Oryctolagus cuniculus: one gene and its partners. The protein of the gene in region 1 interacts with the protein of each later gene in a pairwise test. Links are inferred from orthologs where the notes say so. Each region holds a gene or a part of one and is shown in the gene's direction. Other genes may lie near its edges.

What was found.
Region 2: the proteins of YAE1 (region 1) and CEP126 interact in a two-hybrid assay, tested with the Homo sapiens proteins (2 studies listed by BioGRID and IntAct). The link is inferred for Oryctolagus cuniculus from reciprocal best matches to the Homo sapiens genes YAE1 and CEP126.
Region 3: the proteins of YAE1 (region 1) and CHD3 interact in a two-hybrid assay, tested with the Homo sapiens proteins (2 studies listed by BioGRID and IntAct). The link is inferred for Oryctolagus cuniculus from reciprocal best matches to the Homo sapiens genes YAE1 and CHD3.

The regions. Positions count from the first base shown.
Region 1 is NC_091447.1:29,675,906-29,680,977, forward strand, and holds the start of YAE1 (protein YAE1 homolog), read left to right. Parts: upstream 1-1,664; 5' UTR 1,665-1,732; coding exon 1,733-1,861; intron 1,862-3,861; coding exon 3,862-3,983; intron 3,984-5,072. UniProt on the Homo sapiens protein: The complex LTO1:YAE1 functions as a target specific adapter that probably recruits apo-ABCE1 to the cytosolic iron-sulfur protein assembly (CIA) complex machinery. May be required for biogenesis of the large ribosomal subunit and initiation of translation.
Region 2 is NC_091432.1:93,387,307-93,391,909, forward strand, and holds part of CEP126 (centrosomal protein of 126 kDa), read left to right. Parts: intron 1-3,215; coding exon 3,216-4,603. UniProt on the Homo sapiens protein: Participates in cytokinesis. Necessary for microtubules and mitotic spindle organization. Involved in primary cilium formation.
Region 3 is NC_091448.1:52,445,697-52,450,299, forward strand, and holds part of CHD3 (chromodomain-helicase-DNA-binding protein 3), read left to right. Parts: intron 1-37; coding exon 38-162; intron 163-352; coding exon 353-584; intron 585-919; coding exon 920-1,086; intron 1,087-2,071; coding exon 2,072-2,249; intron 2,250-2,680; coding exon 2,681-2,746; intron 2,747-3,102; coding exon 3,103-3,188; intron 3,189-3,276; coding exon 3,277-3,410; intron 3,411-3,538; exon of another isoform or gene 3,539-3,675; intron 3,676-3,946; coding exon 3,947-4,091; intron 4,092-4,259; coding exon 4,260-4,422; intron 4,423-4,518; coding exon 4,519-4,603.

The DNA.
Region 1 (5,072 bases):
TGTGGGTGCCGGTTTAAGACCCGGCTGCTCCACTTCCAATCCAGCTCTCTGCTATGGCCTGGGAAAGCAGTAGAAGATGGCCCAAGTGCTTGGGCCCCTGTTCCTTCGTGGGAGACCCGGAAGAAGCTACTAGCTCCTGGCTTCGGATCAGCGCAGCTCTGGCTGTTGCAGCCAATTGAGGAGTGAACCAGCGGATGTAAGACTCTCTCTCTCTCTCTCTCTCTCTCTCTCTCTCTCTCTCTCTGCCTCTCCTCCCTCTGTGTAACTCTGACTTTCAAATAAATAAATCTTTTCAAAAAAAGATTTTCTATTTTTTAATTTTATTTGAGAGATAGACAAAGAGGGGGAGCTCCTAGGCACTGCTTCACTTCCCAAAATACCAGTGATAATCTAGGCTGGAGCTGGACAAAGTTGGGAGCTGGGAAGGCAATCAAAGTCTCCCATGTGAGCAGCAGGAACCCACTTGCGCTATCACCACTGCTTCCCAGGGTCTGCATTAGCAGGAAGCTGGAGTCAGGAGTCAGAGCTGCACATCAAACTCAGGCACTCCAAACAAAGTGAGAGGCTGGCTTCTAATGAAGGCACTCCAATGCAGGAGGCTAGCATCTCACGCACTAGGCTAAATGCGCTCAGCTAGTCAACGTTATTCAATTGTTTTTATTGATTCCTTTATTGCCATTTTGTTTCTAATTAACAAATACATTTTTAAGAGTTTACTTAATATATGCCTTTTACAGGTTATATATTTGTGAGATGCAAAATTCTAAAATTTAAATCTGTAGCCTGCACCATCCACTCGCCCCCCCACACACACACACACTCAGGATTCCCTTTACTTTACTTGTTTTAAATTTGTTTCATAACATTTATTATTTATAATCTTCAAACTACCTAAGTTACTCATATTTGTTTGCTGTGTGTGCTCTGCAAATTCTACAGGAATAAAATCCAAAGGGCTAGGAACTTTTATCTGTTTTATTCACTAATGTATCCAGACACACAGGTATTCAAGAAAAGGTAAGACAAACAAACCACGACTGTCACAGGACTCATTTACCCACACAAACAAAGGCAAAACGGGATGCCACTGGGGTGCTTTCACCTGCAGTGTCAGAACCTGCTGGTGCTGGGGCAGACAAGTTCCCGCCCTCGCCAAGATCACAGTTTGCATTTAGCGCACGTGAGCAAGAGTGGAAGGCAGCGAAGGATACTGAGAATCAAGGAAGATGTATCGATGGCAAAGGCAACCTTTCTATTTCCTATTGATCTCAAATGGGCCGCAGTAGTTCACTCTCTGACTCTTTTGCTCTTTGCTCCAAGCTCCTAACAATCAATCCGTGTCAGGTTGTCACGTCCCCTGAACACGCTGAGATTCTGAGACAGTCTTTGGGCAGTACTGGCTCAACCGCCTTGAGTGATTTTACAAAAGGAGCCTCTCCCACACCCAGAACACTGCAGTCTACGACAGGAATGCGGGGTCTGATCAAGGTCACGCCCCAGCCGAGGAAGGAATCAAGGTGCACACGGACACACTGTGTTAACTGACTTAGTCCCAAAGTCCGCGAGTCCAAAAGCTCTGGACGTCAGGCTGGACAGCCCGCAACCACGACGGATCGCCTCGGCGCACGCGCACCCGCCCTGAGCGCCAGGAGCGCAGTCTTCGTCCCGCCCCTCACACCGGAAGGAGTCGCGGGTGTTTCCTGTTGCCTGCGGCTCCGTAGCCATCTCGGTGATGTCGTGGGTTCGGGCTACCCCCTCGGTCCAGAGCCCGGCCGAGGAGGGGGACGTGTTTGATGAGGAAGCTGACGAGTCGCTCCTGGTACAGCGGGAATGGCGGAGTCACATGCAGAAACGAGTGAAAGTAAAGCCGGGGGAGGGGGGTGGGAAGGGTGCGGGGACCCCGGGGGGTGCCGGGCTGTGGTGGAGCGGAGCCCCGAGTTTGTGAAGAAGCCGGGCCCACCGTGGTCCCAGTGGTCCCAGTCTGGCTAGCGCCGCCGTCCTTACCCTTTGCCACGCGGTGCGCCCCGCGTCCCGCCAGGATTTCCCAGTGGGTTGCTTGGAAGCGGGTGAACCCCAGAGACGCGTTGTTTGAGCGCTTGCGGGAGGGCGTTGGAGAAGCGGGACGCCCACCAAAACACATGTTGTCCACACTTGGAAGCGATTGCTGTCTGATGATGATCACAGGGAAGTGGGTGGGGGAGAGACATACCAATACAGTGATTACTTGACTGCTGATTATGGCTGTCAAAGGACGCGCATTCAGGCTTCCACGGGCAGCTTGAGTGGGTGGGGAGCCCAGAGTTAGGAGTGTTTTAACCAAGATACACGAAAAAAGTGAACTTTACAATGTTAAAGGCAGTAGGAGAGGGGTCGGGGCTGTGGCATAGCGGGTAAAGCCACCTCCTGCAGTGCCCGAATCCCATATGGGAGTTGATTCGAGTCCCGGCTGCTCCACTTCTGAGCAGCTCTCTGCCGTGGCCTGGGAAAGCAGTAGAAGATGTCCCAGGTCCTTGGGCCCCTGCACCCACGTGGGAGACCCAGAAAAAGCTCCTGGCTTCGGATCAGCTCAGCTCCAGCAGTTGCAGCCATTTGGGAATGAACCAGCTGATGGAAGATCTCTCTCTGCCCCTGCATCTCTGTAATTTTGCGTTTCAAACAAACAAGTAAATATTAAAAAAAAAAAAAAAGGCAGTAGGAGAAAGCTAAGATGGAATACTGATGACCAAGTAAGGGAATATTAAAACCAATTTTCTTCTTATTTGTTGGATGTGAATTATTCATGTCTAATTTTATTTGTTGAGTCTAAGCGTAATTTCCAGATGGAGTACTCAGAGCTTAGTACTGGGTGAAGACTAAATGGTGGGGGTTGCTTCCACTTACTATATTTGCCAGCCATTAAATTGCTCCTAAAGCTGTATTGGGGATCTGCCCCAAATTAATGTTTCAGCAAAACAATATTTGCTTAGTTCAGCAACCACGTTGTCAGTTACAAAAAGTTTTATGTGACGCTAAGGCTGGACCAGTCAATACTGCCACATCTCTCTCTTTCTCTCTCTCTCTCAGAATTTATTTATTTACTTGAAAGACAAAGTTACAGTTACAGAGCAGAGAGAGAGAGGTCTCCCATCTGCTGGATCACTCCCCAAAAAGCCCCATCAGCTGGAGCTGGGCCAATCTGAAGCCAGGAGCCAGGAGCTTCCTCCCAGTGCAGGGTCCCAAGGTCTTGGGCCATCTTCTACTGCTTTCCCAGGCCATAGCAGAGAGCTGGATCGGAAGTGGAGCAGCGAGGACTCAAACCAGAGCCTGTATGGAATGCCAGCACTGCAGGCAGCCACTTTACCCCCTTTTCCACAGTGCTGGCCCCAATAATAAGCATCTTTTGAGTACTGTGACATACTTGGGACATGCAGAACAAAGTTTCTGTCCACAGAGAATTTACTTGGATTTCAGGATCAAGCAAAATTTCTAAAACCAGGCTTCTCACTTTCCTTCTAAAACAGTTTTGCCTTTCCTTACTTTGTTCTGTCTCCTCACCCACTCACACCTTTCCACTCAGTTGCCAGAGGGCCAGACATGTAAGTTTCCATGTTTCCTTTCTGTGAAGACATTGCTAAAACAGAGGTGTTAAAAACTGGGTGAGAACACACTTCAAAAGTGGGATAAGGAACAATAAACCGGTAATAAATTTTTATGAGGAACATAACCTGCATTGCTTGTGGGGCTATACCATATTATTTTCAAGAATGCAGTAAAAGCCAGTTTCATCAGTTTTCTAAATTGGGTCTGTGCCTTTCTAGAAAAGCCTACATATGGTTCACTTGGTATTAGTTACAACTGTAGTTGTTCATTGCTTATTTTTAGGAAGGCTATAGAGAAGGAATCGATGCTGGCAAAGCAGTTGCTCTTCAACAGGGCTTCAATCAAGGCTATAAAGAAGGTGCAGCAATCATTGTAAACTATGGAGAACTCAGAGGAACACTGAGGTAATTCAGAAATTTAAATGCTGAATCTTTAATATTACAGGATGATTTTTATGAATATTAAAAATAAACATTTAAAGTGCTTCTTTCTGCTGTTGAATACACAAGAGTGTGGAAAAACATAGAATGTTGCCTTCAAAGAGTAAAAATCATTATCAGCTCATCCATTTTAATATGTGAGCCAGCTGTTGTCCCTTTTTTGGGCATGGAAACAGTAAGAGGGTGTGTACTCTTTGCTACCAGAATTACTGCCAGTCTCTAATTACAAGATCTTCAGGCTTTAAATAAAACTTTTAGTACTTGCACATTTGGCAGAACCCAATATGACAGACCTCTAAACTAGAAGTAGATGGAAATTGTAGTGAGTAATAAAGGTAAAATGATTCCATGTATTGTAGTCCTTAACATTGAATACCTGTCGGGAAGCCAGGGCAGTAACAGCATATGGCAGAACCAAATGATCAGATGGAGCTAAGACCTGACAGGTCTGTCCTCCTTGATGCTTTAGACTGTTGTTTTTAACTTATTTATTTACTTAAAAGGCAGAGTTAAAGAGAGGGGGAGAGAGAGAGGGGGAGAGAGGTGGAGAGGTCTTCCATCTTCTCGTTCATCCCCACAGAAGACCACAACAGCCAGCACCTAGCCGGGCCGAGGCCAGGAGCTTCTTGCAGTCTCCCACATGTCTAGCAGGGGCCAAAGCACTTGGACCATCCTCCACTGCTTTTCCCAGGCCATTAGCCAGGGGCAGAATCAGAAATTGAGCAGCCAGGACTTGAACCGGCACCCATGCCCCTGTGGATTGCAGGCATTGCAGATGGCAGCCGTACCTGCTACACCACAATGCCAGCTCCTGCTTTATACCTTTCAAGCTGTCCTCTGGAGAGAAAGCTGCTTTAAAGAATCACTAATAATTTTAGAAGCTAAAAAATTAGTAAAACAAAGCAAAAAGTTGTGTTTGGCATTTTAGAAAAGTCAACTAGAACTAGAATTAATTTTAATTCATTAATTAAGTCACAAACTAGAATTAGTATACTATAGTAGGATATTGATCAAGTGTTCATCTTCACATCAAGTTAAATTAATCTTTTATAA
Region 2 (4,603 bases), on another chromosome or scaffold:
GTTCCTAGGCTTTCTGTGAGATATAATCTTTAGACAACACTCAAAAAAAAAAAAAAATCCACAAGTAACCTAGCTGCCTGTCAATAAAAAACATTCTCTTAAGACTGAAATCTAGCCGGCGCCGTGGCTCAATAGGCTAATCCTCCACCTTGCGGCGCCGGCACACCGGGTTCTAGTCCCGGTTGGGGCGCCGGATTCTGTCCCGGTTGCCCCTCTTCCAGGCCAGCTCTCTGCTATGGCCAGGGAGTGCAGTGGAGGATGGCCCAGGTGCTTGGGCCCTGCACCCCATGGGAGACCAGGAAAAGCACCTGGCTCCTGGCTCCTGCCAGGATCAGCGCGGTGCGCCGGCTGCAGCGGCGGCCATTGGAGGGTGAACCAGCGGCAAAGGAAGACCTTTCTCTCTCTGTCTCTCTCTCACTGTCCACTCTGCCTGTCAAAAAAAAAAAAAAAAAAAAAAAAAAAAAGACTGAAATCTAAACATACAGCAATATAACGCTCACAATGTCAACACTGAATCAAAGGTTATCAGACATATGATGGACCAGAAAATATGAACCATAACACGGAGAAAATTTGCAACAAAATCCGACACAAAATGGCAGCAATGATGGAAATAATAGCCAAGGGATTTAAAATCATTTTGACAATATTTTCAAGGAATTAAAATAGATTTGAACATAATGAAGAAAGATATTTTTAAAATAACCAAATAGACATTCTGGAACTAAAATCTTAATATCTGAAATGAAAAGTTTACTGGATAGACTAAACGATGAAGTCATTTCAGAATAAAAGAACAGTGGATTTGAACACATAACAACAGAAATTATCCAAACTGAAACAGTGGAAAAGAAAATACTGGAAAAAACTTGAGTGTCAGTGACCTATAAGACAATATTAAATATTTAACACATTTAATTAAAATCACACAAAGAGAGAAAATATTTGAAGAAACCATGACTGAAAATGTTTCAAATTTGATGCTTATAAATCCAAATCCAAGAAATTCAACCAACTCCAACAGTAAGTATCATTGTACACATACACACATACACACACACACACACACACACACACTACACAAAGGCAAATCAAAATCTAATTAAGCCAAAGGAAAGAATAATATACTACACACAGGGAAGCAAAAATAAGATGAAATATATAATGTATAAATGAAGGTGAGCATTTTTCAATGGTTAATGATTAGAAAATTCTTGAAATATAGTCATTCTAGAAGAAGCTTCTAACCCAGATCTGTTTGTCTTATAGATTTAGTCTCAAAGAAAGCCCTCTAGGCCAAGTTTCTTTCCTTATCATCATCAATAAAATAATAAGAATAGACATTGAAGTAACTGCTTTGTTTTGTTCTCTTAACTGGGTTGAGTGACCATCCCTTTAGGAAAAGTACTGAAGGCTGTGATGAATAGAGGATAAATGCTATAAATATAATGCTCTCATGACTCATTTTCAAAGTTTCACAGTAATATATTAATATACATTTATCATATAAACAAAAATTTTTATTCTAGAATGTTTTGATTTCTTGGTTTACTTTCTGGACTAGAAAAAGAATATGTTTCTAATACCAGAATGTTTAAATTTTCTAAAATTTATGACATCTATATTAGTATTTCTTTTAAAGATTTATTTATTTATTTAAAGTCAGAGTTACAGAGAGAGAAAGAGCAAGAGATCTTCCATTTGCTGATTCATGCCTAAGCTGGCCCAACTGCCAAGGCTGAGCCCTGCCAAAGCCAGGAGCCAGGAGCTTCACCCGGGTCTCCCACATGGGTAGTAGGGTCCCAAATGAAACATCTTCCACTGTTTTCCTCAGACCACTAACAGGGATTTGGATCAAAAGTGGAACAGCCAGGACATGAACTGACCTGAATATGGGATGCCAACATTGTAGGCAGTACCTTTACTCGCTACGCCACAATGTCACCCTCTATGGCACATTATAAGGGGCACTAATTTTCTTTCTTTGAGTTCATTTAACTTTGGCCTAGATTTAAATTTAATATCTTCTTATAATTTATTTCTGTATATGCATTATATGGACTACATATATCCAATATGTATAGATTAATCCATTTTAGATATGAGTGAGAAATGAGAACTACTTTAAAACATTTACCATACTTTGAAGTGATCATGAAATTGTATTTAAAATTAATAAATTTCATGGAAATTTCAGTGAGATACTGGTAAAATTGTCTATAGAACTTAAAAAAGTTATTACTATGCTAAATCTTCAAAAAGGAGTCATTAATCTCGATATTTCTTAACCATAAATCTGTATTAGAATTATGCAGAGAATTTAAAAATAATAAAAATGCCAATACATAGACCCTATCCAAATGATAAGCCATGAGGACTCATAAATAGGTATTTTACAAGTTTTCTTACATGATTCTAACATAGAATCAGAGTTCAAAACCTTACTATATACTACAAGATTAACTTTTTTAAATTTTTTTTTTATTTTTTGACAGGCAGAGTGGACAGTGAGAGAGAGACAGAGAGGAAGGTCTTCCTTTTTCCATTGGTTCACCCCACAATGGCCGCGCTGATCCGAAGCCAGGAGTCAGGTGCTTCTCCTGGTCTCCCATGCGGGTGCAGGGCCCAAGCACTTGGGCCATCCTCCACTGCACTCCTGGGCCACAGCAGAGAGCTGGACAGGAAGAGGAGCAAGCAGGACAGAATCGGGCACCCCGACCGGGACTAGAACCTGGTGTGCCGGCGCCACAGGTGGAGGATTAGCCTATTGAGCCGTGGCGCCAGCCAAGATTAACTTTTATAAAAAGGATCTATCTCTTAAAAACAGAAAGCTCATTTTAGAATCACAGAGCTTTTAGGAGCCACATTTAAGAGCAGTGGCTATTTCAGGAAAAAATCCAGAATTTTTCTTGCTTTTATGAAACCTTCAAGAAACTCCCTACTCTAAGTGGGGTAGCAAAATTATTGATAATTAATAACAAAATTATTTTCTAAGCTGTAACTGTGAATAGCATAATCAGATATTGTTCCTTTAGGAGTTAAGGCAAACAAATTTTACTATAACTTTTTGTTACCCTCCTACTTTTTGCACTGGAGACTGTTGCAAGGATATAAATTATTTATTTATCCACATTCTATGTAATCATATTACTCTATTTTGCATGCCAAGGAAAATTGGATGGATTTAAAAACAGTGTTCCTTTTTTTTTTCCCAGAAATTTTGTGATGAAGTTAATCGAATAACCAACTCTGAAACCCTCTCAAGTATAGACAGTCTAGAGGTTGGAGAACGTGAAGATATATATTTAACACTTAATAAGGAATCTTCTACATCAATCCAGCCAAATTCTCTTTCCCTTGGATCTGCAAATCTACAATCAGCTAATCCAAGTTGCTTTGTTGAAGATAAACTGTCATTCTCCAAGACTCAACATATAAATAATTGGCTAACAAATTTAGATGCTCCAACTACTCATGCTGCTGCACCTTTCTCAGATATTTTAAGTAAATCTAATGTACCTTCCTGGGAACACTTAATTAGTAAAAAACAAAGCCCATCTACTTTCAGTACAACCATGGAAAGAGCCACAAGTACTGCAAATAATTCAGTGGCCTTTGTGTATAGTCCACCTGTATTTGAAGCGGATAAAAAAAGAGGAAACTCCTCTGAAACAAGCACTAGGAGCACAACTGACTGCACTTCTGAAGCATTCAAAAATGAGAAGCCATTAGTTACCGAGAGCCCAACATTTAGATTCAGTAAAGCCTGGACTGCTCCAGATTATGTAGCCCAGGAAGTGGCTACATTTTCAGACCAACAGAAGCATTCTGAAGAAACTCAAACAAATAGAACTACTTCAGTTCCTACTTCATTTCTATCAGCTACAACACCTTTAGTTTTGCCATCTAATACACAATCAGCTAGGCCTTTAGCAAAGAGTGGTATACACGTAAAAGAAATAAACCCAGTGCAGTGTTCTGATAAGTTAGATGAATTGAAAGATGTTAAAGATGAAAAGATAAAATATTTTAACTGTAATAAGGAAGAGTTGCCTTTATTTTCTAGTTTAAAAGATAAAAAACAAAGAGCATCTGAAACATTAACATCATTGTCTAATATAATTTCTAATTATGATTTAGTTGGCCAACACAAGAAAATGAAATATAACATTCATGAGAGAAACGGTGTGAGGTTTCTTAAGAGTATTTTAAAGAAAGAATCTAAATATGAACATGATTATCTTAAGACAATTATTATAAATCAGGGCTTTACATTTGGAAATCAAAAAGCATCAGCTATCAGAGATAGTATTGAATTAACAAAACAAAAAGGGAAAGGTACAGAAATCCCAAAGACAATTAAAAAACTGAGGTGGTTTGATGAAACTAGCAATATAGAAAACAATGCTGAGGATAGTCATTCCCTGAAAAACAGAACAGGAATAACTCAACAGTGGTCTCCAGAATTCCATACTGAAAGTGATGCTGACAGCAACATAATTAGTATTCCTGCTTGTGCTGTAAATTCAGATGATAGAAAGAAGTCCAAGGATATTTCCGTCTCTGACAATGCCACTTCTTTAGGAAGACATGGAACAGATCA
Region 3 (4,603 bases), on another chromosome or scaffold:
TACAAGAAAAACTCGGTCCTTTAATTCTCACCTCCAGCTCCTGGGGCCCAGCAGTTCTGCTTCCTGCTGTCCACTCGAGCCGGGGGCCTGGGCATCAACCTGGCCACTGCTGACACTGTCATCATCTTTGATTCTGACTGGAACCCCCATAATGACATCCAGGTGGGAACCCACGTCGTGGTGCCCCGTTTAGCAAGGAGCCGTGGGTTCACAGGGGGGGTTGCCGTGCTCTGGGGTCAGACACAGACCTCTCCTGGGAGGGAGAAGACCCTCCTGGCCAGCCTCCTTTCCTGAGCGTGTGAGCAGCCTCTCTTCTGCTCCCCCTGCCCGCCCCTGCCTTCTCCCACTGCAGGCCTTCAGCCGGGCTCATCGCATCGGCCAGGCCAACAAAGTGATGATTTACCGCTTTGTGACTCGGGCGTCGGTGGAAGAGCGAATCACGCAGGTGGCCAAGAGGAAGATGATGCTGACACACCTGGTGGTGCGGCCGGGGCTGGGCTCCAAGGCGGGCTCCATGTCCAAGCAGGAGCTTGACGACATCCTCAAATTTGGCACCGAGGAACTGTTCAAGGACGAAAATGAGGGTGAGACCCTCTCCCGCAGCTCCCTGAGAGCAGACCCCTGCCCTCCCGTGAGTCCCTGGCTCCTGCGGCCCCCTGGCGGGAAAACGGCTCTGCCGCCATTGCAGGGAGAAAAGCCTGCTTCCGGTGGTCCTGGGAGGAGAGCTGGCCTTTCTCCTGCCTGTAGGGTTAAAAAACCAAACCAAACCAAACCAAACCTGGAATCGGCTCCCAGGGAGAGAACCTCCTCCAGGCTTCCCCAGAAAGAGGCAGAAATGAGGGCTCTCCTCAGACCTTCCTGGAGCTGTGCCTGGGGTCCTGGCGGGAAACCGCAACCCTGTCCTGTTTCCCGACCCCAGGGGAGAACAAGGAGGAGGACAGCAGCGTGATCCACTATGACAATGAGGCCATAGCCAGGCTGCTGGACCGGAACCAGGATGCCACGGAGGACACGGACGTGCAGAACATGAACGAGTACCTCAGCTCCTTCAAGGTGGCCCAGTACGTCGTGCGGGAAGAGGACAAGGTGAGGGGCGTGGGGGCCGGACGCTGTCTGTCCCAAGCTGTCTCTGATGCCGTGTCTCTGGAGCTCCAAGCGGGAGCCTTCAAGCAGGACCCATTGCTCTTGTTTTTTTATTGCTCTCTTGACCTAGCACCCAGCAAAGCAGAGTGGATCTTAAACAACTTAAAAAAAGTTTTCTGAAAGGCAGTCTGCTGGTTTACTTCCTAAGTGGCCACGACAGTTGGGGCTGGGCTGAGCTTTACAAAGCCAGGAGCCTGGAACTCAGTCTGGGGCTCCCATGTGGGTGGCAGGGACCTAAGCAATTGAGCCTTTGTTTGCTGCTCCCGGGGTGCACCTTAGCAGGAGCCAGGTCTCAGCCCCAGGCACTCTGATGTGTGATGTGGGCGTCCCCAAGTGGCATCTTTTTTTTAAGATTTATTTGTTTGAAAGGCAGAGCTACAGAAAGGGAAAGAGCAAGCAACGGCCAGAACTGAGCCAATCCTGAGCCAGGAGCCAGGAGCTTCATACAGGTCTCCCACATGGGTGCAGCATACCCAGGCCATAGCAGAGAGCTGGATAGGAAGTGGAGCAGCCAGGACTCGCACCGGTGCCCATATGTGATGCCAGAACTGCAGGAGGTGGCTTTACCCACCATGCCACGGTGCTGCCCACCTCCAGTGGCATCTGTATCACTATGGCAAAGGCTTGCCCCTGAAACAACCTGTAGTCTCACACATGAGACTAGGCTTTAGAGAGTGACTTCGGCACAAAGTCCCGGTGAGCACAAAAGGGCACTTGCGACTCAGTGCAGGGCACGCAGAGGGTTAGGGAAGGGGCTTAGCAGTGACAGAGGCACAGGGTGCAGTGCAGCAAGGGCTGGCGCAGGAGATGTCCAGTGTCCAACAAAGGTCGGCAGAGCTGAGGGGGAGCCCGGGGGTGGGGTGCTGCCAGAGGCAGTGGTGCAAGGACCGGAGAAGGAGGCCCCAGCAGTCGCTGTGCTGCCCTTCAGATCGAGGAGATCGAGCGAGAGATCATCAAGCAGGAGGAGAACGTGGACCCCGACTACTGGGAGAAGCTGCTGAGGCACCACTACGAGCAGCAGCAGGAGGACCTGGCCCGCAACCTCGGCAAGGGCAAGCGGGTCCGCAAGCAGGTCAACTACAACGATGCTGCTCAGGAGGACCAGGGTGAGGACCCCGGATGCAGGAAGCGGGGAGGGAGGACGTGATCATGATGGGTAGGGGCCTGGAGGCTGGGGCTGCCTAGAGAGAGAGCGGCGTGGAGGCGGGGCCTTCCCCTGCTCGGGAGAACGCAGTCAGGAGGGGTCGGTAGGAACCATCAGAGGCCAGGTGGGCTTGCAGGCAACTTAGACGGTCTGGGGGCTGCAGAGGAATCCTGTGGACGCCCACAGGTCATTGCTTCGAGTAGGTTCAGCAGGACTCGGGGCAGTACAAGAGATGCCCAGTGAGTGGACAAGGCCGAGGATATGTGGCCGTGAGGTCAGGCTGCAGGCAGTGACCTAGCACCCCCAAGGGGGCCGAGGCCAGAGAGGAGGGGACCCCAGCGTGGCCTACCCAGGAAGCCGTCACTGACCGCGGAGCCCTTGTTTCCCTCACAGATAACCAGTCGGAGTACTCGGTGGGATCAGAGGAGGAGGACGAAGACTTTGACGAGCGTCCTGAAGGTGGCTGTTTTCCTGACTTTCTCCCTGTGCTCTTCCCTCATGGTTTTTTGGTAGAAAAACTAAAGATTGCAGATGGGCAGGAAGAGAGAAGTGTCTGTAACCTCGCCATTGTGATGGTCTGCGGGCTTAGGAAGGTTCCATCATTTTACTTCCCTGCCGTGTCCAATAGTTGTTGTTAATGTTTTAGTAAGACTTGATTCTTTTAGACTCTCTGGGTGAGTAGTTCTGAAAAGGCTCGGAGGAAAATCAGGAGTACCTCAGACATAACCCAGGGCGCCCCTGAGTTCCGTGTGTTGCGGGAGTGGGTGCTGACGCTGGTGGATGCGCTCAATAACCCGTGTCACCTCGGCCCTCAGGGCGCCGCCAGTCAAAGAGGCAGCTCCGGAATGAAAAGGACAAGCCACTGCCTCCACTGCTGGCTCGAGTTGGGGGCAACATTGAGGTGAGAGCTGGGCCCAGGCCCGTCAGGGGCTGTGGGCACTGAAGGCTGGGGCCCAAGTCAAGACCTGCCTCCTTGCCCTCGCCCTCAGGTGTTGGGGTTCAACACGCGCCAGCGGAAGGCCTTCCTCAATGCTGTGATGCGCTGGGGGATGCCGCCGCAGGATGCCTTCACCACGCAGTGGCTGGTGCGGGACCTGAGGGGCAAGACGGAGAAGGAGTTCAAGTGAGTGCGGGGATGTGGCGCTGAGTGGGACAGAAGGGGAAGCCTTGGGCGTTGCTGTCTTCCTCTTGGCCACCACGTGATGTGACCTTACTCAACTGATCCCACCCTCCCTGCTGTGTGACATGTCCTGGCTCAGTTTCCTGGGGGGTGAGCTCAGCCTCCCCCACCTCCCCTCAGCTGAGCCTAGAGGAGACAGGCCAGGCACCTGCCCCCTGGAGAGGCGTTTAAGTAAGGAGCCTCGCCTGGCTGCCCTGGCCTCACATTTACTTGGCCTCAGCCACGTGGCAGGAGGAGCTGGTGGAACGGATGAAGAGCTGACTGATGGGGCCCAGGAACAAAGCACCAAGGCCTAAGAGTTGTGGGGGAGGGCGGAAGGGCATAACGGAGAGTTAGGATTTGGGGGGCTGAGAGTGGCAAGGGGGAGAGGCCCAGGGGAGGAACCTGGGGGCACCTGAGTTCAGTAATTCCTGTGCCTCCCTCACTGCCCTGTACCCCTTCTGAGGCTCCCTAACCCCCTCCCACCCCCATGCTCCTAGGGCCTATGTGTCTCTGTTCATGCGCCATCTGTGTGAGCCTGGGGCAGACGGCTCAGAGACCTTCGCTGATGGAGTCCCCCGGGAGGGACTGAGTCGCCAGCAGGTGCTGACCCGCATCGGAGTCATGTCTCTCGTGAAGAAGAAGGTATCAGTCTTCCCGTCGCCCAAAGCGTCAGCTGGCCCCTTGGCCCTGTCTTTCCTCTGTCTTCCATTCTTGGGTTGTGCAGTCACACTAGGGCAAGACACGGGCTAGGAGCTTCCCGAGTGTCCGGTGCCTCGAGCTGACCTCTGGCCCATGACGCCCACCCACCAGGTGCAGGAGTTTGAGCACATCAACGGGCGCTGGTCAATGCCAGAGCTGATGCCTGATCCCAGCGCCGACTCCAAGCGCTCCTCCCGAGCCTCCTCTCCGACCAAAACGTCTCCTACCACTCCCGAGGCTTCTGCCACCAACAGTCCCTGCACCTCCAAGCCTGGTAACCAGGGGCAGGGAGGGCGGGGCAGACAGAGGTGGGGTCAGGAGTCTGGGTCGGGGAACGGCTGCCTTGCTCACTCCGCCTTCCCCTCTGCAGCTACTCCAGCTCCAAGCGAGAAAGGAGAAGGCATAAGGACGCCTCTTGAGAAAGATGAAGCTGGAAGCCAAGAGGAGAAGCCAGA